Linked DNA regions of Styela clava. The protein of the gene in region 1 purifies or fractionates together with the protein of each later gene. This does not show direct contact. Links are inferred from orthologs where the notes say so. Each region holds a gene or a part of one and is shown on either strand. Other genes may lie near its edges. The genes, in order: cell division cycle protein 27 homolog, serine/threonine-protein kinase Nek2-like, anaphase-promoting complex subunit 11-like and ubiquitin-conjugating enzyme E2 S-like.

Region 1 (7,346 bases):
GCGAGTAAACAATGTTCAGCAAGATCAGGTCGTTCTGTTCGAAGATAAGTTCTTCCGAGTAAACTGAGAGCAAAACATGATGATTCACCAAATTCAGAATGAATATCATTGATAATATTGGTGATATATTGCGATCCATTCAATTGTCTTGGTGAAAAATTAAGTCCGAAAATTTGTTCTACCTTGGCATACCTGAAAAAAATGGTATCAAATTAGTATCAAAACAATAGAAATACAGGTTGCAATCATAATGAGGATGAGGATGCCTCGAGTAACCGACTCAACTAGGGTAATCATTTATTGAAGACTCAAAAGTAACTCGCGTTTTTGAAAAAAATCGTTATCTATGCCATTTAGACTTGACCCAATAATTGACTCAAACTCGACCAAGACTTGGCTCATGGCTTGGGGTAAAGAGACTTCCACCAAATACTGCTACAGTAAAGTGAACTTATATTCTGACTTGCGTCAAGCATTAAATTACCTTCAATAAACTAGATTACAAGAAAATACCTGTGATCAATTATTTATTCAAAGCTCCAACATAAATTCAGAAATCAATAGCAGTTTACCTAAGGTCTAATTCAGGGTGGTCCAAGGTTGTGGGCTCCACAGGCCACAAAATTATTTTGGTATTTGTCGCGGGCCACAATAGTACCAAGAATAGGTAAACAGTGCAATACAAAACAAGCACTTCTATTGTGTAAACACATAGTTGCCAACCTAGGCTAATGGAATCCGCATCCGATTTAGTTTTCTACCAATTAGTTTTCTACCATGCCTATATTGTTAGCATATATTCCCGACCAATACGATTTAGACTGCCCATCACATCTTCAACTTCGCTAGTTGCTTCAGCTAGCCATCATACTAGTGTAACTAGTCAATTCAGTCACAGTAGTGATATAACAACAATATGTTAAACGATTTTTCTGATTTATTTCATGAGAAGCAATTTAAAATACGATATTTTGATTAGGCCTACTCTCCGAATACGGCGCTGGCCACAGATAATGGAGCGTCGGGCCACATGTGGCCCGCGGGCCTGGGTTTGGACCACCCTGGTCTAGTTAATCAAGTGTAAATGACAATCTACCAAGAGTGTTTGTTTAAAAAAATCTTACTCTTCCAATTCCCATGCACATTGTGCATAAAGTAACTTGCATTCAGGCATCGTCATCCCATGTTTATCAAGTAGCATTTGTGTTATTTTAGGTTTTCCTGATCTGTAATAAGCAGTCGCCAACAAGAAGAGCGAATCACTTGATGCAACTGTAATAAAAAAAGTTTATATTAGACAGGATAGGAGGGTGGGTTGAGGTAATAAGATTTATATTTGTATGCTTGTAATATTGTAAGATTTCATAGTTTGCAAAAATGAATCACTTGGGTAAAATGTAGGGACAAACAAAGAACCACTCCAAAAAGTTATGCCATTTATGTCATGTCTTTCCCGAATATGAAATTTGATTTATCTTGGCTCATTAGCCGTTATAATTAACTTTGTTCATGTGAACCGTAATGGACTCAGAATCAGTTTTAATTGTTTCACTACATTAGCTGCTATTTATTCACAGACTGAGAGGTTCAAAAATTTTAAACTCAAATTTCTGTATTAAAAGATTATCCGTAAAACTTCTTATTTATCTGCTTTATGAAAGTGCCAGCTTGAATTGTTTTAAGTCCTATCACAACCACCATTTACTGATATCTCTCTGTTGCAATGATCATAGTAAGTCATGATATTTTTACATTAATATTATGATTTTTACTACTATTAGAATATGATATGACAATTCTGTCGGAAAAAGTTTATTCACAATAAACAAGATAAGAATTGCATATTTGGATTATCAATTCAACTATCTGAATATAGATATCCCAAATTGCTACTAGTTATACTCCAATACAAAACGATATGTATAGTCAAGAACCATGCAGCATACAGTCCACAGGCCACGGACAGCCCATGGAACATATTCACGTAACAGACTTTGTATCCCATTATTTTTGAATGAGTTTCATATTTTGAAACTTGCATCATTCACCTTTTTGACATTGTGTTATGCCACAATTAGATGAAATTTTGTTTTGTCAAGGATTTAATAATATGATATCACTTTATTTTTCTTGTGTTGTGACTGAAGGGATTGTTCGATGGTTTGGCCCACAATGTCATATTTTGAATTTTGCTTGATAAATCAAATTATGAAATTTTCACAATTACTATTTTTCCTACATCAATCTGTTTGATATTTTTTGCAATTTCTTAAATAAAAAATATGAGAAACCTGCCTTCAGCAAATAGTCGTTCTGCCAGAAAGATTGCATCGGCAAAGGCATAATGGTTGAGAGAGTGCCATATTGCAGCCTGAAATTAAGACATGTATAATACTTTATTAATTACAACTTTATGATACCAACTAATCTTAGGCTATATAATCCTTTAATCACTTTTTGACCTGACGACACTGAAGAAATGAATAAAAATCGCTACAAAAAATTAAAAATGTGTCTTCTGAAAGTCAATGTTTGCAGATTATAATTGTAAAAACATTATTGTCCTACAGTCGGACAGTATTAATAGTTGCCTTGAGTATCTCGTTAAAGGCTTAAATATCAAAGAGCGAAAATTATTGGAGAATACAGGAAAAACTGACTGCTTCAACCATTGATTGATTTGCATTACAGCAATAAAACATTCAATTCTGCAATTGGAAGTGTTCTACAGTTCTTTGAGGTAAATGATGGTCAAAATATTCAAATACTAATGTTATAAACTGTATCGATGTGGTTACCTTGATTGGTTCTTGGATGATCGTCATAATCCTGTACCGGTATACACTAAGTTAATCAAATTAATCCAAAAAGTTGTACCGGTACCGGTATTCATTAATCGGGCGTTGGACTCTAACTTGGAGAAACTTTCATCAGATTGCTACAAAGACTGGATATAAACAAATGAATTTATACGGTTCGGTACTTATTAATACAGCAATACAGTATCAGTACGGTCTTACTACTTACTGAATACAGCGCGAAACACCGCAAAGAGCGCAAAACAGTGCGAAACAGCGCAAAACAGCGCGAAACAGCGCAAAACAGAGGGAAACAGCGCAAAACAGTGTGGAAACAGCGCAAAACAGCGCGAAAGTGCGCAAAACAGAGGGAAACAGTGTGAAGCAGAAAAAATTTTTACAATGAGTTCGGGGCACCTTGTTTTGAGTTGGAGTACCACGGCAGCAAATTAAAAACACAAACCAACGTATGTAGCCAGTAATGCTGTAATGACAGGTCTGCCCCTGCTGGTGACACATTTTGGGTACCATAATTTAGAACATTTTCCATATGGATATGGTTGGCTTTAGGGTTAGGGTTAGGTAAAAGGGACCTCCAGAAGTATGTGCACCAAGATGGCGCACAACCTGAAAAGAGTATGTGTGTGTGTAGCGGATTCAGGTTGTGCGACATATTGCTGCACATACTTCTGGAGCACCAAAAAGGTAGATAAAATTTCGCATGGTGACCTATAATCCGGTACATAACCTTGTAAATATGCCGGAAATAGCGCCATAAAACCATGGCGAGAGGCGCCGTGGTTCTTTCGTGGCAGGAGGTGGTAATGACTACGTCTCCTGTTTTGCGCTGTTTCCCTCTGTTTTGCGCTGGTTTCCTTCTGTTTCGCGCTGTTTTCCTCTCTTTTGCGCTGTTTCGCGCTATTTTGCGCTGTTTCGCGCTCTTTTGCGCTGTTTCGCGCTGTTTTGCGCTCTTTGCGGTGTTTCGCGCTGTATTCAGTAAGTAGTAAGACCCGTATCAGTACAAGCAACTAGCAACTACCGGTACGCTCCGACCCCGCGACCTTTCCGACCCGCAACCTTCCCAAGAAAACGCAAAATCTGCCCGTTGAGTCTCGACACTGAAGTAGTTTTTATTGTCTTTCTTGCAATGTGAGCACCCATTATATGCGCGTGTTATCTGCTTAAAAAAAATTATTTCCCCGTGTCACCTATGAAAACTACAAAGTTACTATAAGCTTCAATTTGATTTAAATTTAGAATAGAGTCACGCAATATAAATAGTTTTACTATAATTTTCCACTATAGCAAAAATCTCTCTCTTTAGTATTCCAAAATAAAGTCTTCTTAAAAGGAAAATGTAGGTAACCCAAGTAGCATCGCGCGGATTATGCCGACCACGTTCTTACTGGAATTATTTAAACCAGAGATGTGCAACCTTTAATACAGTGGGCCACCTAATTTAAACATTAACGTATAAACGCAAACCATCAAAATGGAAATATTCATCTCAAATGATTTCATTTTCGAATAAAACCTTGGACCGCAGTCAATTTCCAAATATAGGTATCTCAAGAGTTTTATTTTTATAAATTTATTGAAATCAACATTGATAATTGTCTTTGGTAAAGGATACATGAAAATATTGAGTAAGACATACAAGATATTTGTGCATTCGAAACGGCTTCTCTGATAGGTGATTTCCAATACTATATATATACCAGGGCTTTACGAGAAGCTTTCTAGGGGTACTAGGATGGCAGTTGAGTTTTCATGTGTTGCTATTTCCTTCATATATTCTTTAAACCAGTGGTTCTCAACCTTTATGGCGTACCGATAAAATTGAATAAGATGTACTCGCGGACCGACAAAAAATTGAAATGAGTGGAAGAGAAAATAATAACATATATATATTTGCGCAATATAACGAAATGCTGGGCACCCACTATGCTTCTAGATAAAGAAGGCACACTTGAAAACATTTTACATGTATAAAAACAAATAATGCGTCGGCCAAAAACCGAAATGAGTGAATCAAACTTGGCCCAGAAGAAGACATAGATGCTTTGTTGGTCAGCTGATCTCATATTTATCTTTCTGCAGTTAATCAACGCATCAAACAAAATTTACATTAAGATGAATAGGTCATCGTTAACTTGGCACCAGGTACACAATCCTGCTGTGCATCACATGGAAAAGATCTCTGCGGCCCATGATTTTGTTGTGCGCCTCGTGACCACCTGTGGGGTCGCAACAAGCTCATATTTTACTAGATGTCAAGGCGGACCCCTGGGATATTATACTGTCAACGACTGTTTTCTGCCTTAAACAAAGAAATATTCATAACCTTTTATTTGGATGTTCATATCGAACAGGAAAAGCATGCAGAACAGAAAAAACACGTGTGTCATTCTTTGGGTTTCTGAATCTCGCGAGGTTGAAGGATGCTTTCGCGATGAATCGGAACCGAAAAAGCGAGAAGTGTGATTACTCGGCGCCAATACGTCTTTAATACCGCGAACAGCAATAGGTTGGCGAAAGAGAAATAGCGTAATGAACAAACCCAACGTCGTTATTTCGCGTTCGGTAAAGCGATTTAAGACGGTTGAAAAACACATAAAAATTTCTCGCGGAACGACAAAAAAGCTTCCGGTCCGTGGGCCAGCGGCTGGGAACTACTGCTTTGAAAAACAGTTTATAAATTATTAGTCAATATATTACAATTTACAACTTTGTTTGGTGTCTGATTACTGGGAGTTCGAGTTGATTATTTCACGACTCGGAGGTACTTAACAGGAAAAAGGTTGAGAACCCCTGCTATATACATAACTTTCACAACGACTTTTGAGAATATATTTGACGACTGTCAAAGCTTATTAAACTTCGCGAAGATATGTATTCAACTCTTATTTGCCATTTATGGGACTAAGTATGATACAATTCCTCTTAACAATGAAATTGTTTTTTATATGAAAATGATTGACGGAATCCCGACATCTTTGGATTGCTGGTTGTAATTTGTAATTTGTAAATCGTGGAAAGGATATAGAAATAGAATATTGGGTAAATCAGCTGTTTTTGCTCGATAGTTCGTGTTTTAACTTAAGTCATTCTAATCCTAAAATTAGAAGCAATCTATTAGTCGTAAAATACGTAACAATCAGACGTCCTATATAGGTTACATGACGATATCGCGTCATGCTCTGAGGATACTAAAACCAGCATAAAAGCGAACATTCGTTAGGAGAAAAAAGGATAACTACGGACAAGTAATTAACGAACCTCGGGCCTGCAGTGCAACTTGGTAATTTTGCCTGGCTTATCAGTCATGATTTGGAACTGTCCTTTGTATTTGTAAATTATACAATTGCAATATATGTATTCGGAACCAGGTGTATGTCTTCATCAGATCAGAACAGCAGAATCAGACAGCAAGTATTCATTTATTCCCTAAAAGGATTCTAACTTATTGGAAATTCAGTGAGCAAATTGAAATATTAGTTAATATGTCGATTGCTCATGTTTTATCGTATTTCGATACCTGGTTATTTAATCAGTTGTGGAACAGTGTTTGGGAACTTCAATGAGAATTTGTTTATTGCATGTGGTGAAATATTTGTCTGTTATGATAAACGATCCGTGAATTGAGTTTGCAGTTGCATCCGAAAGACCAGTAACCCAATAAGACTGATTAGGTTACAATTTTTCAGTTTTAGAGAGAATTTTGTAATGAATATTTTTGTCTCTTCCACCATACCTGCTATTCCGGACGTATCCCGTAGTCAGACCTTCCATTACAATTATCGCAGTTTTATATCGTCATTGATTGATTAAATATTTTGATAAACCAACCCTAGAGTCCTTGCAACAACAAAAAACAACAAAACAAAATAGCCGGCTAACTAATCCCATGCATAGACTGGTAACCGTACGAGTGGCTGTGGTGGTACGCTATGTGAGTAAGCCGCCTCCCTCTTACCCGGGATAAAAATGATATCCTACCTCCAATACCGCCTTCCAGTGGCGGCGCGTGGTCATTTTGACAACCGGGGCAAGCTACTGCGGGACCAAGTCACCCCCATCTACGGGGATAGGATGAGCGCTGTAAGTTCTCCCATCATTTTATGAGCACAAAAACCATTCCATCGGTAACAGCCAATCGGCAAAAGCGACAATTTTCAACGATAAGAAAGTGTCTTTAAAACCGGTCCAAGTCAAGGGATTAATAAATATAGACATAGTTTATTTTGAAACCTCTTTCAAAAGGAAAGGCAATATTTACCCAGATAAATACAATGACATATTAACAGAAACTTCGGGAAAGCAGACAAAACCTAAAATAAGGTTTAAAACATTACTATGAAGAAAGGAAAGTTAATGCAAAGATAAGGACATGCGTCGCTCACTGATAGATATATATGCTACTAGACTTCTACTGCTTGAACATATATGCAACACGCCGCGGTTTCTTGGAAGCAAAATGCTCAATAACGCGCTGATCAAAGTCATGCATCCCAGAAATAACGTCTCTGTGAATGGATAAAACAGCCA
Region 2 (6,890 bases), on another chromosome or scaffold:
GTACTAATATATTAGAGAAGTTTTGTGTAGTTTGTATAGTGATCGTTTCTTCTGAAATTAACTTTCAATATTCATCCAAATGATAAACGCCAGTGAGACATGTGTTAGTACCGTTTGCGCCGTATTTTTAGAGGAAATCAAATGATACCAAGGGAAGAAATCGCAGACCTTTGTTTTAAATGAGGAATAATGCTGTTATTATAATGACATTACATAGGTAATTAATAGAAACGTTTATATAATGTAGGATTTGTAAAACTTCTTAACATTTTAAATAGTCTAAAAAACATTGTTTTCTCTAAAGCTGTGACCCATGTAAAATACTCCTAGTGTTCCAACTCGGGAACGCTGTAAACATAGGGAAAATAAACGCTTTTGGTCAATGATGAGATGGAATATAACAACCCCCGAGTGTTACGACCTGGGAACGCTTTAAACGCAAGGAGAACAAACGCTTTTGGTCGATGTTGAGACTCGTCCCTGCATTGTGCAATCGCTGCGTGGTATCTAAATTATCATTTTTTTTTAAATAGAATCAAGCCGTTTTTTCTTAAATTGCTTCAAATCGATTCGAATTAAGTTTGATTCGAATCGCTTGGATTCGAAATTCTGAAACTTACATCCCTAATCATGATACACCTGTACCGCTGTACCGTGAGTCATACAGTCATAGGTCGGGAACCCATGGCTCGCGAGCCATTTATGTCTCTTTTGGTGACAACATATTGCTGCCACAAAAATCCAATATTCTAAGGCTAAGCTTACTACTGTGAACAGGTTCCTCTTTTATAGACAAATTTGGCTGAAAATTTGCCAATACGTTTGAGAACGAGCGCTTCAGCGAATGTCAATGTTATACGAGGAAATTGCCAGACTAGCAATGTGACAAAACTCGGAATCTAGGATTCTGGAACATATTTTGTGATATCACGAAGCGTTAGAGTCGTGGAACAATAAAGGAATTAAAGTATTTTGTCCGCTTGTATTGTTTATTTGTAATATTTAGATTGGACAAAGCTAATTTTTAAAGCACTACAATACTGAGATGCCCAAAAGAAAGAAAGGTGATGAGTATCGTGGATTTCAGCTTGTGCTGAATGTGAGCAGTCCTTCAAGCCCCTCAGCGACATATTATTAATTGTATATTGATATTGTTTGTTCTAATTGTTGAGTAGAAATTCAAGACATGATAAAGTGGTGAAAAAATGTTATATGGCTCGCACCGAAATGTCATTGAATATACGTACCTTTCAAGGCTCTTTTGACCAAAAAAGTTCCAGGCTCCTGATATAAGTTGATATAACTAGTAGTATATAACTAGTTAATATAATGCAGTCTGCTGTTGGGTATTCACATTTTCATGGTATCTGTAAATAAAATTGAGAATTTGATGTTTCTACTAATTGCATTTTATTCTCCAGCTTCACTAACTCTTATTTTTAATAACTTAATTTTTTAACTGATATTTCAGGTAACCTATAGTTTGATAGTGGAAAAGTCTGTTCCATTATTTAATTACCTGTATACATACATATTCTGGGAAGGATTTGAAAAAAAGTGACATGGACTGGAAATCCAAATTGAAAAATGCTTTGCAGTCACAAGCTACATCAAGTACTTCGGCTGAAACAGAAGAGGAAAAAACAGCAAAAGAGTTGAATCAATTTACTGAATTATATACAAAATGGAGAGGCAGTTCAACCAGCAAATGTGAAACATACAAAACCATTCCACGATTTTATTACAGGCTTCCTGCTGAGGATGAAATTTTATTGCAAAAATTAAGAGAAGAATCCAGAGCTGTTTTTCTTCAACGAAGAAGCAGAGAATTGCTTGATAATGATGAGTTACAGAATCTTTGGTATCTTCTTGATAAACATCATACACCCCCTACTACAAATGAAGAACAAATGATCAATTATGAAGATTTTCTGGAAGTTGGGAAGAAAGCAGGAGAGAAATGCAAACAATTTTTTACAGCGATAATTTTTTCAAAGTTAAATCAAAAAGATTATATGGGAAGAATTTCAATTTTACAATTTTTTAATTATGTTATGAGAAAAGTGTGGCTTCATCAAACAAGAATTGGTTTAAGTTTATATGATGTGGCCGGACAAGGATATTTGAGAGAAGCAGATTTGGAGAATTACATACTAGAACTCATTCCTACTCTACCTCAACTTGATGGGCTTGAGAGATCATTCTATTCATTTTACGTCTGTACAGGGGTTCGAAAATTTTTTTTCTTCCTGGACCCGATGAGAACGGGTAGAATTAAAATTCAGGATATACTTGCTTGTGGATTTCTAGATGATTTATTAGAACTCAGAGATGAAGAATTATCGAAAGAAGTTCAAGAATCTAACTGGTTTTCTGCACCTTCCGCTTTACGTGTTTATGGACAATATTTGAATCTTGATAAAGATCATAACGGAATGTTAAGCAAAGAAGAGCTGGCGAGATATGGAACAGGGACATTAACTAAAGTGTTTCTTGATCGAGTCTTTCAAGAGTGTTTAACATACGACGGTGAAATGGATTATAAAACTTATCTCGATTTTGTTCTTGCTATGGAAAATAGAAAAGAACCTGCTGCGCTACAATATCTATTCAAATTACTTGATGTACAAAACAGAGCGTATCTGAATGTATTTTCTTTAAATTACTTCTTCAGAGCTATTCAGGAAATGATGAAATTGCATGGACAGGACCCAGTATCATTTGCTGATGTGAAAGATGAAATTTTTGATATGGTGAAACCTAACGACCCATTGAAAATAACATTGCAAGATTTAATCAGCAGTGGCCAAGGTGAAACTGTAACAAATATCTTGATTGATCTTAATGGATTCTGGACCTATGAAAACAGAGAAGTTCTTGTTGTAGATTCTGCAGCAGATGACGATGTCTGACAATTAGTAGTATTATCTACTGTGTTACGTTTGCAATTTCTTCACAAGGCATCTTAATAATCGGATATGAAAAAATGTTGTTATGCGTTGTGTGGGGCTTACATGATTTACATATCATTAGATGATTGTGGAGAGCCTTGTTTGGAATGGGAGTATGCAAATATAAACAAAATGCTGATGAATACACAAGAAAGACATTTGGTTTGCGAGACTTGGTTTATACAGTAATTGACTTATGCCAATCACCTTGCCATAGTTGGTGTAGTTGGAATTTTGGAGATGTAAATTTGATGATTTTGTGATATTATGATATAATTATATCTTGGGTGATCTTGAAATTTAGAAGATAGGCCTAGGTATCTTCATGAACTTTGTTCGAAGTACTTTATGTATTCGAATTAAAATTTTGGATTCATAAAAATTTCAACTTGGCTTTCAAGAGTTGTGAAAGGTTGTTTTTAGAAATAACACATTTCATAATTTTCTATATTGTATAAACTGGAATTTCTTAGAGTTTTTGACTAAATTTCTATTTTTCCAATATTTCTATTTCATTCAATTGCTATCTCTGAATTTCAAATATCATCATCATTCATCATTATGAATGGTTGAAACTCAGAAATGATTTGCAGAGCAGAGTTTTGGATTACCAAATAATTTTAATATGAATCCACCAATCTACAGTATCATAGCCATACATCTGCTTACTTTGTTTTTATTATTTATACCAACCCTGTCTAGCAATCAATCTGCGATCAATTTAGAAACCAATGTTCCAGTTCTGCAATTCTGTTCCCAACCTAACTGATCATATTATATTGTGATTACCATTAATAAAACAGGGCCATTCCCTGCCATAGCCGCAGGATCCTCTATTTGTGTTATGAACTCTTTTTTTAACTTTTTTAACACATATTTTTTGATTTCTCATATTTCTAGGTTGTAACATTACCCTACATTAGTTGTTAACTCCATCAACAAAATGCCATCCAAGTTATGCGATTACGATATTCTATATACCATCGGTTCTGGTTCATATGGAAAATGTCTGAAAATCAGACGGAAAAGTGATGGAAAGACACTGGTTTGGAAGGAAATGGATTATGGTTCTATGACAGAGCCGGAAAAACAGCAGTTGGTGTCAGAGGTCAATCTTCTGAGAGAATTAAAACACAAATACATAGTGAGATATTACGATCGAATTATTGACAGAACCAGTAGTCGCCTGTATCTTGTTATGGAATACTGTAGCGGTGGAGATCTGGCAAGTATAATATCGAAGAAGCGGAAGGAACGATCATTCATGGAGGAGAACTTTATTTTGAGGGTTTTTGCTCAACTTGTACTTGCATTACAGGAATGTCACAGTCAAAGAAAGAAGTTAGGCCAAGGAAAAATTCTTCATCGTGATTTGAAACCAGCCAATGTATTTTTAGATTCATCTAATGATGTGAAACTTGGAGATTTCGGTCTGGCACGAGTGCTGAACCACGACACAAGTTTCGCAAAAACTTTCGTTGGAACGCCGTATTATATGTCACCAGAACAGATGAATAAATTGTCTTATAATGAAAAATCTGATATTTGGTCACTTGGATGTTTAATTTACGAGCTTTGTGCACTTTTGCCTCCTTTCACTGCAGCGAATCAAAGGTTATTAGCTGTTAAAATCAAGGAGGGTAAATTCCGTCGTATACCATCTAAATATAGTGATGAATTGCAAGACTGCATTTCACTGATGCTAAAAACTTCTGCAGCAAGAAGACCAACCATTGATGAAATCTTGAAAATGGATTTACTGCAAGATACTCTGGAAAAATGTGGGCTCACACCTCCAGTTAGCCCAGCTGCATTAAAACCTCAAGTAGGAATAGAGGTTATAGAGGATAAGAAAATGGAAAGAAGAAAGTCATCATCATCTAGTGATAGTAGTGAAAGTGAGAAGAGAGAATCACCAGAACCTGAAGGTAAAACAAAAGAAGAAGGGCTTGAATTACGTTTGAGAGAAATTGAGAAAAAAGAGAGAGAGCTGAAAAGGAGAGAAAAACTTCTTGAAGAGAGAGAAAGAATGGCAGAAGAAAAAATGACAAATGCAGAAACACTTATCAAGCAATACAGAGAGATGAAAGCTGAAAAACAAGATCTTTTATCAAGAGCTGGATTGTCAACAGAAGCATTGCACGAAAAATATGAACGCCTTGGTATTTTACCAAGCAAGAAACAAGTTCACTTTGCAATGGAGTCAAAAGAAAATAATCCTGGATATCATGATGATTATAGATACCGAAAACTCAGCGGAGTTGGACCAATAAGTGATAAACATCTTGGAGATTACAGACATAAACTTCGAGATTTGAGATTACAAAACCAGGCAAATATGAGATATGAAAACAATATCAAAAACAGGCATCTGCTAGGAATGAGATAAATTGTTCCGATATTTGATAATAAATATAATGGAAACATGATGACTTGATGTACAAATATAATCACTCCTTTACCAAAAACATGAAACACAAACTATATCAAGAATGTATTGGAATGTATAATGCTGTTTTTAGATAATTGAATAATTTTGCGTAGCTGTGAGATTATTGTGCTGGATTTTACTTATTTATAGAGCACTGTTTTGTTTTATTTTCAATTAGTATCATGTGTGCCAATGAATGATTAATGTCACCAAGTTACTAAATAAATCGATTTGATTCTCAATTGGTACACATTGTTCAGATTAAGAAGGTCTTTTCATCCTTGTAATACTCCTATTGATCTAATTTTATATTTTCTAATTTTTTTTTTCAAGCGATTTTAACAAAAAAATTTTATAGTCTTGGCTGCTCCATTTTTCTTTATACTTCTGCTGTTACTTGTTTCATGCTCATTTTATTGGTTGATGATTTGCCTTGCCGTACTACTGTTTAAGTTTAAACTGTGATATCAGAAATTAAAAAAAAAATTACATTTGAGGCAACATTTATTGGAAGTTGCTAATAGTAAATTTCAAAAAGGAAATTCGGCATCCAGTAATACCGAAAAGGCGACTTATTTTTTCTTTGTACAACAATTTAATTATACACAAATCTATGACCATTATTTGCATACTTTCATTCGTTCACAACGTTTTTTCATACGGTGGAAATTTTAAAATATTTTTTTGCATTTCTAGCAACATGTAATTAATATGTCTCTCTTCACGTCTCACTCAAATTTCACTTATATTTGTCTATGTGTATTCTTTCTATGCAGTGCACGGAATAATGTTTGAAGGAATTTACAAGAATTTATTGCTGACCAAAAATACTTACTAAGATCAACAAACCTCTCAGTCTGATATTATTGAGAATTTAAATAGGTTATGTTTTCAATAGGAATTTGAATTTTTAAAACATCATATGCTATTCATTTAGCATTAGCAATGTTAGAAAATTATTTTATTCATATTCATATTTTCTGTGTTTTAAAAGTGGCGGGAATTCAAGTTTATGTCATAATCCTTGTATTTTTAGTATGCTGTCCTCAATCAATAGCTCAATTTTTTGCTGCTATTATTTCTTTATTTATGTCTATACTTTTCAGTTGCGTAAAATACCCATATGAATCACAATTTCACATTTCTTCTTGCTCACAGCACAAAACGGTTATTTTTTATTGGCAGCCACACAACAAACAAAAATAGTTTCAAGGAAAAATATCATCTTCCCTTGCAATAACATTATAATAATGATCGTGGTAATGATCTATAAACGTACATATTAGACCGTTTTCTTGTTGCTTGTGCTTATAATTACTATTTTAGGATTAGTCTTGACTCGTCAGTCGTCACAGGATTTATCATATAAGAGTATGCCGATGACATTTTTCGTATAACTGCTTTCATGCATTTAACACATGACATAAGCAGTCCCAGGATATTACTTTATTATGCCGTGGATCTTTTTTAAAACTGAAATAAATGACCAGGATAATAGCAAATCATGT
Region 3 (6,516 bases), on another chromosome or scaffold:
GTGAACAACAGGTCAGTATACGGCCTTCAAGACTAGTATATAATGGCTCTGGTCTGCTGTATATGATTTCATGAATCATACTGTTACACCAAAGATTTAAATAAAAATGTTCACTATTCCTATGATGATCATTGCTTGCTTTGTTTTGTAAACACGATTCTCAAGATGAGAATTATGAAAATTTTCCTATGGACCTTTCCCCGAGCATCGACTTCCTTGTTTACTTCGTGACATTGGCCAATCAGCAAAATGCAAAAAGTAACGTAACAATGCCCCCTTTTCGCATCCGCTCAGACACTTTTTTCACTCAGACAGATTTTCCAGCGTGGTTATAAACATTACCTCGTTTTCGCGTTTTTGAACTCTATTCGTTAGTTTTCAGTTGTGTTTTGGAAACTTAAATATAAATCAGATAATTCAATGATCACTCTGTCTTCTTAGGAGTTTTAATTTAATTGCAGTAATAAAAATTAGTGTAGAAATAGCTGTGATAGACTAGCCTGAAATTCTTCACCGGTACCTTTAAAAAACAGATTGTTGTATGCAACGAATCATAATGATGTTTTGAAACATATACCCCATTTTACAGACGCCAACTTGCAAAAGCACTCTTAAAATAGCCCCAAAGGTCGGGGAAAGCTCCATTGATTTGACCCTCTTATGTTGGTCAGAAACGTTTTCAAAACCCATCTGCTAAAACTTCTTGATAAGTATAGGCTACTTGTAAGTATTTACATTCAGTTTTAGAGTGCAAGTTTGTGAAAATCCCAAAATGTATATAAAGTTCATGCAATTTTGAAACAGTTTCAGATTATGACAAACCTATGAATCAAAATCATCTTTCCCTATCCAGTGTGTTATTTTTATTCAATACTGTGTATGTATCACTGAGTTGCACTTATTTATTTTTCACGTTCAGACACATTCTCATCACATTGAAAATTTGTCGCTGATCCACTATGTATACATAGCCAATTTATTTATTTTTTTCTGATTATTATCGTCCAAACTCCATTGAATTTAGTTTTCAGATAAATATAAATTTCCATCAAATTATTCTGGTCGCCTTTGTTTCATTTAACGAATGCAACCGCGGACGTCGTCTTTACTGTCGAAAATTCAGTTCGTTTTAGTCATTTAGGCCTGTTGTGGTGTGAAACACTCCAATCATGGGACCCCAAATGGCTAAATAGGGTATTTCGAATGTGACGGCAGAAGCCAAAAATAGCCCAAGCTATTTCAGAACGCCCTGGTTGTCAGTAAATTCCGGGACAACCGTGGCCCGGGGCGCCAGACGTCAATTCCGGGACTGTCCCTGTCATTGCGGGGACGGCCGATAGCCCTAGTCTGAAATAATTTTAGATTTTGCCTACTTTCCCCATTTTCCGTAGGCTATGTGTGTGTGTGTGTGTGTTGACTTGCATTCACTTTACTAACCGTGTGTTGCGTCTATATTTTGTTTGTCACCGAGCGGCGTGGGTTGTTAATGTAAGTGCCTCATATTGGGTTCGATACTGACTGGGACGCCTTATCGGATTTCTGCGCTTTCGGAATATAACTACTCCTTTAAATCTTCCCCAATAACTATTTAAAACTACTAAAACTAGGCTTGTTTGCGTTACACTACTCGACCCGAATGATCGAAAATGGCGTCCATATGACGCCATAATGGGACAAGTTAGTTGCACGGTGTTGCAGGTCAGTATACGGCCTTCCAGACTAGTTATATAATGGCTCTGATGAGACGATAAAGATAAAGAACTGACTAATGTCAGCGATCTCTCTCATACTGGGATCGTTGCGACGAGAAAACGAGAGAAATAGCTGTTCGATTTCGGTTGCACCAGTTTATGGTCACTTTGGGTTGCACAGTCTTGGATGACAGTTTGTATATTTTGAAGGGCTATATTACGTCACTGTGAGGTCGCACTGACGTAATTTTTAGATGGAGTAGACAGGTGGGGGTTAGGATTGACATATGCAAAAATTGTTGAGCCAGGCCAACAAGAAGTGAATGTGGTACTAAACTATACCAGACCCAAATAGAGGCGCAGTTCTTACCACTTCATGGCGGTTTTATAGCGCTATTCTGTATTCAGTAATCAGTATTAACGGTATATTCACAAACTAATGTACCAAATTCTAATTGATCATGCGGAATTATATCTACTTAAACCCTAACCCCAAATCCATCAAGACTGTATCCATAAGAAAAACGTTCCAACTTACCCAATATTTGTCACCATAAGGGACAGCCCTGTCCTTACGGCCCACCTGCCGCGGTTACGGCAGCAAAATTTTACCTGCCATTGGTTTTAAATTTGCTGCCGCGGTAACGGCAGATCGACATTGGTTTGTGGCAGCTAAAAAGTCAGTCGCCATAGGTTTGGCCGTAGCGGCCATGGTATGGAAATACCGCCATGGTTTTGCGGCAGCTGCAGACGCCATGGAATACTTGAAACTGCACTTGCCCAAATAGTACAAGTAGGCCTACTGGTATATTATTATTATTTTATCTATAAAAAAAAAAAAATAGTACCAGTACTGGGATAAGAACACACAGATAAATATAGGGACGTTCAACCACTTAATACCTGAATGCTGTAATAATAGCATTCCCATTTTGCGTAACATTCAATATTTCGGCTTATATGAGTGTTAGTTAAGTATAAACCACCTAAAACAAGGGAACAGAATCAGGTTTCATTTAAGCCATATAATATAGATTTTCCGTGAATATACGAGCGCATTTGTTGGTTGTTTCCATGCTCAACCCCAAAAATGTTTTGGGACCGGCATATTATGCTATATTCATTTTGGGCAGTTGGCTGTTTGGGGGAGGGGATTTTTAAACCAAACTTGAGTCTGATTAGCTGATTAGGAAAAAGTTTGTCGTCCTTTTTAGAAAAAATCCAAGATGAGATCAGTAGCTTTATACCTAATTTTGTAATTTCATAACTTAAATGCATCATGAAACAATATCTTTCGAAGTCATAAGGCCTGCCTAATCTCTCTCAGTCTCTATGTATATTGTATACCTACATTTCTAACTAACTGCATCTTTCATATTAAAACTGAAAAGCAGAATATATTATTATATTTGAGATCTGTAAATATTAAACCATGTTTCGTAAAACTAATGAATGCTATAGAATGATTAAGTTCTGCACTCCAATTACAAGGAATTCAAAAAGTTGCAGAAATATATGCAACACCATGAAATATTTTTCATCAGGAGAGTCATCGAACAAAATTAAGAAGATTGAAAATGAAATTGAAGAAGATAATACCGAAGAAAGTGTATTGCAACCTGTTGCAAGAAAAAGTATTATTCAAATGGATGAAGAAGATACAGCGGTAGAGCGCAGTGTGAAACGAAAAATGGTTTCACAAAACACCATGTACCAGCAGATGTTAGCAGAGTCTGCACCTGACGATGAAGAGGCGGTTCTGGAATACTATGTACGGAAAGCACAGGAACATACAGATTTAGTTGATGATGCAGAGTATTATGATGTTGTTGAAGCGGATAAACGTCTCTTTTTCAAAATGGTTGACATGTGGATTCAAGATGCAGGTGAAACTCGTAGAGGACACAGGGAGTTTGTGCAAGTTGCCCTAAATAATCTTGATCGATTCAATGTCCAGCATGAATCCAAAGCGTATTTAAAAATACTTGAATGTTATCCTCAATCAGAACATACTGGCATGCGAAGAGACGAGTGGTTTAAATCGGTGTGGCAAGATAAAATTATAGATCATGAACTTGGTGGAAGATTATTTAGTATTATGGCAAAAAACAATGCCCTTATTAATGATGAATTTTATAATGCATGCATGAGACTTTTTGGAAAATTCAGCCGAGCTACTGTGTCTGCCAGGCAGCTTATTTTTTGGCAGCCTAGGTTGTCTGCATTTGTTCCATTTCTTATCTCCAAACTAGAATTAGAAAAATTGACTCCCATTGAAATTGCTGTAAGAGGTTTGAGACAAGTGAATCCTGGTATAGATGCTTCATATCGAAGATTTGAAGTAGACTCATCAGTTCTCAATGATAAAAAATTGACTCCGGAAGCAGAAATAGATTGCATAATAAGCGTACAAACAGATCATCAAAGAGAAATGCTGGATCACCATGATGTAACCAAGCCACTTTTTGTAGAAGGGCCTAATATGGTGTACTTTCAAAATAAAAAAATTCAATACTATATTATGAGAACTGACCCAATTGAAAACAAGACCGAAATGTCTGAACAAGAACGAGTGTTAACTGATAGGGAATGGTGGACCCAGTTTTATGGTTCAGACTTTGGAACTTCCAAAAGATTTTTCAATAAATCTACGCAAGAATTATATTCAACTGAAAGTTTCTTGCCTAGAGTAAAATTAGAAAGTAAAAGTTTTGTGGACTTGCAGCAGAATGAAATAATTCAAGTTGAAGATGACACTAAACCCTTTGAGGGTAATGTATTTGCAGTTGCTGCAACTGATCATAAGTCTATTGGTGCTCTGCGGAGTTGGGTCAAGGGTTTAGAGCCTTCCAATCCGAAGCTCTCACAATTAACTGTAATTTTTAATGAAAAAGTAAATTTTTTGTCTGAAGGTTATAAAATTGGCCCACAAAACATAAAAGATGACCACCGTGGTTGATCGATATAGTAAAGGTGCAGAAATGTATACATGATCTATGAATAATTGCGTAAAAATGCGAATAATATATTTAGAAACTTTATCAATGATTCTTTATCAACTTTATGAAACTTGGCTTTGTGCAGTTCTTCACTCCAATACATGGGCAGATTTATTCCTCAATAGTAGGAAAAGCAAAGTCACAAAAATCACTTAAAAGCATAGCTCTTTTTACATGGATCATGTTAAGTTTTTGTGTGTACCACATTCATGTCAAATTTTTGGTTGTTTTCGATAAAATTTAATATGTCTGAGTATACTTTAATTTATATCATCTACTTTTAGATATTTGTTTGTGTAGAGTTGTTTTTAACCAGCTTAAAAATGAAGTTCAAGATAGTCAAAGTGCATGCTGTTGCAAAATGGTGTTGGCAAGCATCAGATGACAATTGTGGAATATGTCGTGATCCGTTCGAATGCTTTTGTTCTGATTGTAAAGCACCGGGTGATGATTGCCCTATTGGTAAGTTATTTTTTAAGAGTTATTGGTTAAGAGAGAGCAGAGCATTGGTTAAGAGTTAAGAGAAAGCACTGAGGCTGAATTGTGTTGCTTATCAGATCATGAATATAAATAAAATTCATGATATCATTTGTTTTGCAGTATGGGGACAGTGTTCGCATTGTTTTCACATGCATTGCATACTGAAGTGGCTTCAATCACAACAAGTCAATCAACAGTGTCCAATGTGCAGACAGGATTGGGTTTTCAAAGAGTGAACTATCAACTTGAAAAGCATTGTGAAAATGTAGCAATCAACAGTGTCCAATGTGCAGACAGGATTTCAACTGGAGCAGCCCTGGAAAAATGTGGCTAAGTGTCGTTGAGAATATCTGGTGGCATCTTCTCATTATTTAGGTGTATGCTGCTATATGTAGCCTCATTAACGTTAAAAAAATGCACTATTAGCCGAGTTCTTGGCAGGTAGTTGACGAAATTGAGTTGATGATTGAGCATTAATTTGATTATGATATCAGTAACCACTTGTTATGGAGAGGACTTTTTTTCTGGTTGAATGGATGCAATTGAATTACAAATCTAAAGAGTTGGGACAAACTAGCTGCTAATTTGTAACATGGATGGGATCCTATTTGAGTTAGGAATATCGATTTCGTTTTAGTGTGAGTTCCACTGATCTGCCCAGACATTACTGCTACATCAACGGCGCTGTTTTTCATCCATTATTTATTTTTGGCTATAGTATAAAAACCAACGCAATATCACAATGCTAAGGCAACGAAGGTGAAAAGGCCACACATGATTCTACTGACAACAGTTCGGCTGAATTTCATTTTTGTGCATAATAAATAAGTAGCGTCGTCAATTTTCGTCTAAAACTGTGATGCATCTATTGCAGGTAGAACTTCCCCCTCACAGGTTCCAAATCCTACTCTGTAATTTTCTCCTTGACAAAATCCTGATAGAATAACATTGTCTCCATCTTGCAAGAATTTTCTTGATTTTCCATTTCCGAGATCAACAGTGCGAGTTCCCTTCCAGCATAATTCAAGCATGCTGCCGAAACTATCTTGCTCCAATCCACTAATTGTGCCCGATCCATACAGATCCCCTGTTTGGGTATTGCATCCACTAATGCTGTGATGAACAAGTTGCTGCTTCATTGTCCAGTACATGTATTTGAAATTAGACTTACAGACAACTGCGGGTTCGACCATGTCTTTATCTCTTATTGCCACAGACAGGTTGATGTTAAATGCATAGTTATCATCATGTTTCAAGTACGGTAGAATTTCAACATCTTTGGGATAATTTGGTATCGCAAATGGAGCAAGAGCCTCCATTGTTACCACCCATGGTGATATAGATGT
Region 4 (7,354 bases), on another chromosome or scaffold:
TAGTGTTTCTGTGAAGCTTTTTTTGCCTTTTATGTTGCGGAGGGGAAAATAGAACAGAGTAACAAATTCTTTTTCCTGCATGACAAAAACATAAGTGCATCAAAAGTGGGAAATTCTTAGGTCACTACTTATTATATATTGAACTATGTGGACCAATGGTAATCTGTACATAAAATTTGAATATTGAAGCATTTTATGTGAAAGCATGGACATTGGGGAATCCGAGCTCTTTAATTATGGAAAGACCAGAGTTGGTAAAAAGAGTCGGCCCACATATGTAGAACAAAATATCATTTTTGTCAAAATTTTCAATTTTTGACAAATATTCTTCTAGCATTTCTTTGGAAATTCTTCCTCTTCTGCCGTTCCAAGATTCATCGGCTTGTGATAATATATTGTGAGTGAAAAATCTTCCATGATAGTTTTCTGAAAATGCATCGAGATCATCTCTCCAAATAATATCCTCAATTCTTTTGTTGAAAAAAAGTAAATGAACTTGTGAATCATCTCGATCTCGCAACAATGAATATAAAACTCTAATCATAGGCGTGATTCCAGTACCCGCTGCCAACAAAACATGCGTGTTATATTTTGAAATAGTCTCTGCATCAAAGTCTCCATCATATACACTTACAGATATTTTATCATTCGGTGATAATTTGCCCAACGCTGAAGTCAGCGCGCCAGTTTCATAGTGTTTAATAGCCAGATAAAAATCACATCCGGTTTCAAGTGATTTTTCTGCATTTTCATTCAAAATTGACTTCAGAACTGGAGTATAAGGTTTTTGTACTTCAATGTTATCAATACTAGTTTTGAGGTAGACATGGTATCCCTTGGGCACATACATTCGTCGAGAACAGGGCATTTTTATATGATACAAGTCAGTATCGTGAGTCAATGTAACTTTACTTGCAATAGAACATTCACATGTTCTCAGTTTAAAAACGTCTCTGCCGCTGAAGTTTTCTTTAGTTCGTCGTACATCACCAAGCGTGCTCCAGTGTATTTTTGGGTCCATTTTTGTAAAGACAACTTGTACATTTCCAATGGAAGTAACTGCAATGTGAATACTGCATAAAACTGGTTGATTTAGAGCAATGTGAAATGTGTGCAGTATTTTGCCTACGTGTAAATCTAGTACAGCTGAATTCTTATTCAAAAGATCACATACAACATGATCTTTGGAAAAGTTGGGTATTTTTGTATACAAAACGATTACAATAGTTTTTGTTGTTTGATACCAATCCAAAGTTGGTTCAACTGAAGATTTTTCATTTGGCAGGGAAATAGACACATCAGAATTTGAGGTATAATCTTCAAGATTTATTTCAGGTACACCTGCCGCAGTACCTCCAACAGAGTCAATTTTTAAAGTGTTCACGCCAAGAGGATTTAGGCTTGTTAAAGATGTCGGAGGAGCCAGTATACTATGATTAAGATGTTTTGGATTTGTGTCTATTAACTTTCCTATTAAGCATTCCTTCAACATTGATTCATAGTTAACCCAACGATGGACTTCTTCAAAAAGAGACGTGGCATCTCTCCCTGCACCACGCATCAGTTCATCTGCACCACCCGGATGATATTCCAGATAGGCAGTAACGTTGTATACCATTCCACGCAATGCCATCCACATATCATTAGGCTTGTTATGTTTGGCTAGTTCATCTGTCGTTATACGTAGTAATCGAGGTCCTGTCTTTTTCAAGTCCTCTCCAGATTTTGTCCGTTGTATCCAGTCAACGAGAGACCTTCCTGGTTTCAGTGGAACCTTTTTGCTGGGTTTAGTAGGATTATTTACGGATAACCTTTGCTGACTATTCAGTGACGGGAACATGACAATAATTTCTCTATGTAAGCACTGCAGAGTATAGTATATCACAGTATTACAATACTTTAAAAGGCAAAAGTAATTTGTAAGTAAGAGTTCAATACACTGACATACTACAGTACCAATTCATTATTATTATGAGAAACGTGAGCAATAAGACATACTTTATATGCATCAGTCCATTAAATAAATAAATTCTCATCAAATAAAATGATCGCTCGATTTAATGTTGCATATGACAATAGATAAAAAGTTTAATCGCTGCAATTGTACGGAAGTACAGCTGAATGATATGGTGAATTATTTTTATAGTTACTGTGTATCAATTGAATTTCCCCGACTTTTATTTTTACATTCTCTTCCAAATCATATATGATGATTCATATCAATCTTGTTGGTTATTTATGGAATGAATAAGTTTCTCTTTGTGCTTATTTCTCTTATTTATTTCAATTTTTATTAACTCGTTTTCAATCTTGGTGTCCCAGACTTATGATGCTATCTCTGGTCCTTCGCGACTTCCAGTTAATTGCAATGAAATCCGCTACTGTACCGCATAATTACTTTTTCCTATTTTGAATTTGTGTTGTGATTTCTTGCACGACGAAACAAACCTATTGTCTATTGTCATAGACAGATAGATTTACAATAGTGAGCTTGATACAGACCCAATCCTACCAACAGTGTATGTACATGCGTAGGGGCACTAGATCAGCAGTTCATGGTCATCTGAATACAAGACTATAGGTACAGCTTTCAACATTAACTGTCTTTTCTATTTTTTCCATAGATAATTCCGTACCGGTACTGAATATATTACTCCCAACCACTGCACCAGCAGATAATGCCTGAATTCCCTCATGCCCATCGTCATATTACTACGGTACCTAATTAATTTTCGATTTCATCTCGGCATCAACCGAATACTTATAGCTTGTGCTAAGTAATACAGTGCCGTGAGCAGATACAGAAATAAGTGCCTAGTATTACGGGGTAATCAATCATTTAAATGTTAGTATACGGTATGCGATATGAAAAATAACATATTGCATTTGATAGTAATCGCATTAAAATGCGACTCATAAATGTGACGCACTGCAACACATATTAAAACGCGTTTCCGCGTACCATACAACGCGACTGTCAGTGCCATCTGGGAAATTCATCAATACAATTCATTTATAACTCCAGATCCTGAATGCCCCTGTCAAAACGAACACAAATAAATGAATACATATAAATAGAATAGGCACAGTGAATATAAATACCGAGATGCGAGGGAAATGTTAAGTTACCGTAAATGTAATGAATGTCGTATGAAGCAATGATGCAGAGCAAAGGATTTGCGCATTGGAGCAGCAAACAAAAATGTTTCGTCAATTTTAGGGGAGAACAAACAGTTTTTTTCCAATATTTCAAATGCTATTGAAAAACATGTCAATAGGCAATAAAAGCAGCCATATAGGTCGACCGGACCCTCTTCAGTCTACGTTCGCACAAGATGACTGCAAAATTGGTTGATTTGTAATAAAGTTCACCCATTGAAGCTAACGAAGTTGATAGATCTTATTTCGATTCAGTCGCAAAAACAAAATATACGTACACAAGTTTAAAACGTATTGAACGCGTCCACCCACCGAAAAAGAAAGAGTCACAAACCTAAACAAATAAACATAAATATTGACAATGCTGAGGTGTCTCATTCTGTAATAAGGTTGCATGCAATATATTCAAAAACAGTGAATAGCGTGTGATGTGTGGCGGCATGTAAACAAACAATCGATAAAAATTTTCCATTTTCGCATCCCAGTTGTACACTTCTGGGCCCACAGTTGAAAATTTGTAATGGCTCTGTTTTTTCGCTGCATGGACTTGGTGGTGGAGGAAGACGCGCTGTTACAATAGCCACCCTATGGCTGCGAGGAGTCCAGTAACCCTATCGCACATAAATTTCTCCACGGGATTCAAACCTGCGAACCCACGTAGGGTAATCAGATGTGCAATGGCGAGCGTATTCCAAGCGCCACATCGCTATATATATTGCAATGTATATAATGTCTCTTAGCGTCTTTGAAAAACACGCTTGGCACGAAAAAGTACTTTAAATTAGTTTGAATAAAACCGTTTTAGCGCATAAATTAAATTTCAGTTTTCACCTTGCATCTCTGCAGCAGCTGAATTTGCTGTGATCTCACACATACAAGTAATTGAATGCACCTGTTGTTGTAGCGAAATTATGATATCCAGACTATTTTATAAAATGAATAAACAATTGTTAGCAATGCAATCCGGTATCCTAATGTATAATATTTTGTTTCTGGAATAAAGTTATTGCCTATTGTGAACGATTTGAAGCAACAAAACAATATTTTTTATCTTCTCTTGCCACTCGCAAACCGCGACAGATCGTTAACGAGTTACGCCATCATCTTGAGATACAATAGTTTACTGCTATAAACACTTATTTAGTATTGTAAATTTCCAAGCAGGAGTGTTGAAAATAAAGCCAGAACTAAACAAAAACGATGCTAAGAACAATGTTGACTCTAGTCACGTGACTAGTTTTAAATCAACGGCATCTGACGTCACAACGTCGTAGTACTGTTCTTTTAATCCTCATACCAAAGCCTTGAACACAGAAAATATAGAAAGGGTTTGGCTTTCGCGTATATTGGATTGCAGGCTACTTAGTCCAAGTCGACATAGGATTGTAGGAGGGACACTTAGCTGAAAAATGTCAATGGTGAGTCTCACAGTATTACAGTAATAATCAGATAAATTGTGAATTGCAGATAGAATATATTTAAGTGGATTTTTATTTTAGCTATGGGTCACAGTACTGAAGCAGTCGTTTTCTAAGCTCCAACTGGTCATTTTAATTGGACTAAGTACAGAATTTCGCATTTTCGTTTTAAATATCTGACCTTAAAATGAAACATTTATTCCTGCATTCTGTCATTAGATTTCATTTGGTGCAATATTGCTGTATTGGAAAAAATTTGTTTATCTATTTCAGCATGGAAATCAAGAAAATCTATCCCCTCAAGTAGTGAGACAAGTTTATAAAGAGTTGAAATCTTTAGCAACAGAACCAATTGAAGGAATTCAAGTCACTGCGAATGAAGAGGATGTGTCAGAAATTCAAGCAATTTTGGATGGCCCACGTATGAGTTTTATTATTGATAAAAAAAGTTTTTGCCAAACTGAAGTATTGTGGAACGGATTTGCTTCACATGCTTTCTCCACCATCAACTTTACGCATTTGAAACAAATAACTGGCTAACTAAGTCTATACTCGACATGGACTGGTAACCGGACGAGAGGCCATGGTTCGCTATGTGATTAAGCCCTCTTATCGGCTTTCCCCTAGGACAGGGGTTCTCAACCTTTTTTTTGTTAGGTACCCCTCAGGTCATGAAACAATCATCGCGAACTTCATGGTAATCAGACACCATTCACCCATCAAAGTTATTATTTATTGACTAACAATTTGCTGCAACAACAATTTATTGACAAACTGCTGTAGCTAGATTAAATCTTCGTGTTGATGTCATTACCCTTGTCCTTTGCCTAACTATTAAATTCTTAAAATCTCTCTCAAGTTTCAATAAGCATTATCACTTTCTGCAATGCCTGCAGAACACTGTCTTTTGAGATTTCACAGTTTGGCTGCAAAGCGGTGGATTTTACATTGTTGCGTCTCAATCGCAACAACGCAAGATCAGGGAAAATCTATGCTGAGTTTCGATCGGCACGCATTTTCCTCCGGTAGTAAAGGTCATTGAAAAACGGCATCACACGAAAACTCGAATGCCATCCAAGTACCCCTGAAAATCTTCTCATGAACCCCTGGGGGTTCGCGAACGCCAGATTGAGAACCCCTGCCCTAGGATAAATATGTAAATCCTAGCCTAGTGTTTTAAGTCTTACGTTCACTGAATATTTTAGGATTCTGTCACTGGTCACTTACAACTCACAATGCCCACTCTTTTAGACCTATCACATTGCTTTGCACGATATTGCAAAAAATTATAAAAGGATATCAAAGTAGATTTATCATTGAATAAATGTGGCTTCCTTGGATACAATATGTATTATTAACTGCTTTGGGCAAGACATTTATAAAAGTATATAGTTAAAAAATATTTTTTTAGTTATCTTGACGAACAATGAAAAAAACTCTTATGACCTTGAAATGTATTCATAGAAAAAAACTTTTCCCAGTCCAGGTTTGCCCAAAAAATGTTTCTTTGTATTTGTTTGTTTCTTTGTAAGCATCCATACAGGCTGGAAGCTATTGAATTTTTTGTCCATTTAGAGGGCACACCGTATGCTGGGGGTATTTTTAAAATGAAACTCTGCCTAACTAAAGAATTTCCTGCGAGTCCACCCAAGGGATTTTTTACCACTAAAATATTCCACCCAAATGTGAGCAGTTCTGGGGAAATTTGTGTCAATGTTTTGAAAAAGGATTGGCATTCGAAAATGGGAATAAGGAATGTACTCCTGGTATGTACATTTTATATTATTGTTTTTGTGTATGTCAAATTTGGAAATAAATGATGAATTTTTAGTCAGTGCCAGCTTTGTCACATAGTGTCGTGTTAGGCACCCAACATTCAGATGTAATCACATGATGTGATCCTCGAGCAAACTGGCCAAAAACCAACAATTTTTAATGACTTGAAAATTAAATTAAACATTTGAATTCTGGTATGAGGCAACTTATTCATTCACTTTTAATTGCTACGGCCATAGTAATATTCTGTCATCAATCATTTTTTTTTGACAAAAGCAAGTATGATTTATTGTGTAGCATGAATGTGCGACATTTGATTAAAAATTTACAGTCACTGAAATAAGTTATGAAAATTGAATAACATCTAGATTCATTGCAGCTTACAACAGTAGTTTGGTTTTCTAAGAATGCAAAAATGAATCCAAATCAAGATTCTTCTTGAAAGTCAGCAATATTCTTTATACCCAATTTGAAGTTAAGATCATCATGACAAATCAGTATTCGTCACTGTTGCATGGTTGATGATTATCTTTTTTTTTAATTTTATTTATTTCGGATTTTGAATATGAATTTAGTGTATTTCAATCATAAATGCCTGCTATGCTCTCACAATCAAATGGCTGTGACTTAAGGTGTGTCAACTGAATCCAACGATTGTCAAAACTCATTGCTCTCTGCTTTGTGTATAAAATTATCATGATTTTTTTGTCAGCTTCTGACCCATTGGCGTTAAATTTTTATTTAGTTTTTCGATTATATTTGTTTCTTCGTGTTTTAGACTGTCAAATGTCTTCTTATTCATCCAAATCCTGAATCTGCGTTAAACGAAGAAGCAGGAAGACTCTTATTAGAACATTACAAAGATTACGCCTCTCGGGCCAAACTTATGACTGAAATTCATGCTATGCCAAATGGAAAGTTGGCAAGTACAAGACCAGCAGATGATAGACCTTGTTCTAGTGATCATAGTTCCACTGGAGAAAGTGGTCCAGCAAACAAAA

Evidence for each region.
Region 2: the proteins of cell division cycle protein 27 homolog (region 1) and serine/threonine-protein kinase Nek2-like purify together in Homo sapiens (affinity purification with mass spectrometry; 6 studies listed by BioGRID and IntAct, with this or other methods). This does not show direct contact. The link is inferred for Styela clava from reciprocal best matches to the Homo sapiens genes CDC27 and NEK2.
Region 3: the proteins of cell division cycle protein 27 homolog (region 1) and anaphase-promoting complex subunit 11-like purify together in Homo sapiens (affinity purification with mass spectrometry; 8 studies listed by BioGRID, with this or other methods). This does not show direct contact. The link is inferred for Styela clava from reciprocal best matches to the Homo sapiens genes CDC27 and ANAPC11.
Region 4: the proteins of cell division cycle protein 27 homolog (region 1) and ubiquitin-conjugating enzyme E2 S-like purify together in Homo sapiens (affinity purification with western blotting; 4 studies listed by BioGRID, with this or other methods). This does not show direct contact. The link is inferred for Styela clava from reciprocal best matches to the Homo sapiens genes CDC27 and UBE2S.

The regions. Positions count from the first base shown.
Region 1 is NC_135260.1:19,715,376-19,722,721, forward strand, and holds the start of cell division cycle protein 27 homolog, read right to left. Parts: upstream 3,030-7,346; 5' UTR 2,826-3,029; coding exon 2,799-2,825; intron 2,372-2,798; coding exon 2,296-2,371; intron 1,273-2,295; coding exon 1,125-1,272; intron 193-1,124; coding exon 1-192. UniProt on the Homo sapiens protein: Component of the anaphase promoting complex/cyclosome (APC/C), a cell cycle-regulated E3 ubiquitin ligase that controls progression through mitosis and the G1 phase of the cell cycle.
Region 2 is NC_135255.1:6,135,235-6,142,124, reverse strand, and holds serine/threonine-protein kinase Nek2-like, read left to right. Parts: upstream 1-3,885; 5' UTR 3,886-3,894; coding exon 3,895-5,340; 3' UTR 5,341-6,884; downstream 6,885-6,890. Other genes in the region: serine/threonine-protein phosphatase 2A regulatory subunit B'' subunit gamma-like, read left to right, coding at 1,563-2,912. UniProt on the Homo sapiens protein: Protein kinase which is involved in the control of centrosome separation and bipolar spindle formation in mitotic cells and chromatin condensation in meiotic cells.
Region 3 is NC_135257.1:2,785,966-2,792,481, forward strand, and holds anaphase-promoting complex subunit 11-like, read left to right. Parts: upstream 1-5,013; coding exon 5,014-5,152; intron 5,153-5,290; coding exon 5,291-5,406; 3' UTR 5,407-6,011; downstream 6,012-6,516. Other genes in the region: evolutionarily conserved signaling intermediate in Toll pathway, mitochondrial-like, read left to right, coding at 3,124-4,650; fumarylacetoacetase-like, read right to left, coding at 6,019-6,516. UniProt on the Homo sapiens protein: Together with the cullin protein ANAPC2, constitutes the catalytic component of the anaphase promoting complex/cyclosome (APC/C), a cell cycle-regulated E3 ubiquitin ligase that controls progression through mitosis and the G1 phase of the cell cycle.
Region 4 is NC_135262.1:5,818,969-5,826,322, reverse strand, and holds the start of ubiquitin-conjugating enzyme E2 S-like, read left to right. Parts: upstream 1-4,354; 5' UTR 4,355-4,568; coding exon 4,569-4,577; intron 4,578-4,850; coding exon 4,851-4,998; intron 4,999-6,152; coding exon 6,153-6,343; intron 6,344-7,131; coding exon 7,132-7,354. Other genes in the region: cytochrome b5 reductase 4-like, read right to left, coding at 194-1,840. UniProt on the Homo sapiens protein: Accepts ubiquitin from the E1 complex and catalyzes its covalent attachment to other proteins. Catalyzes 'Lys-11'-linked polyubiquitination.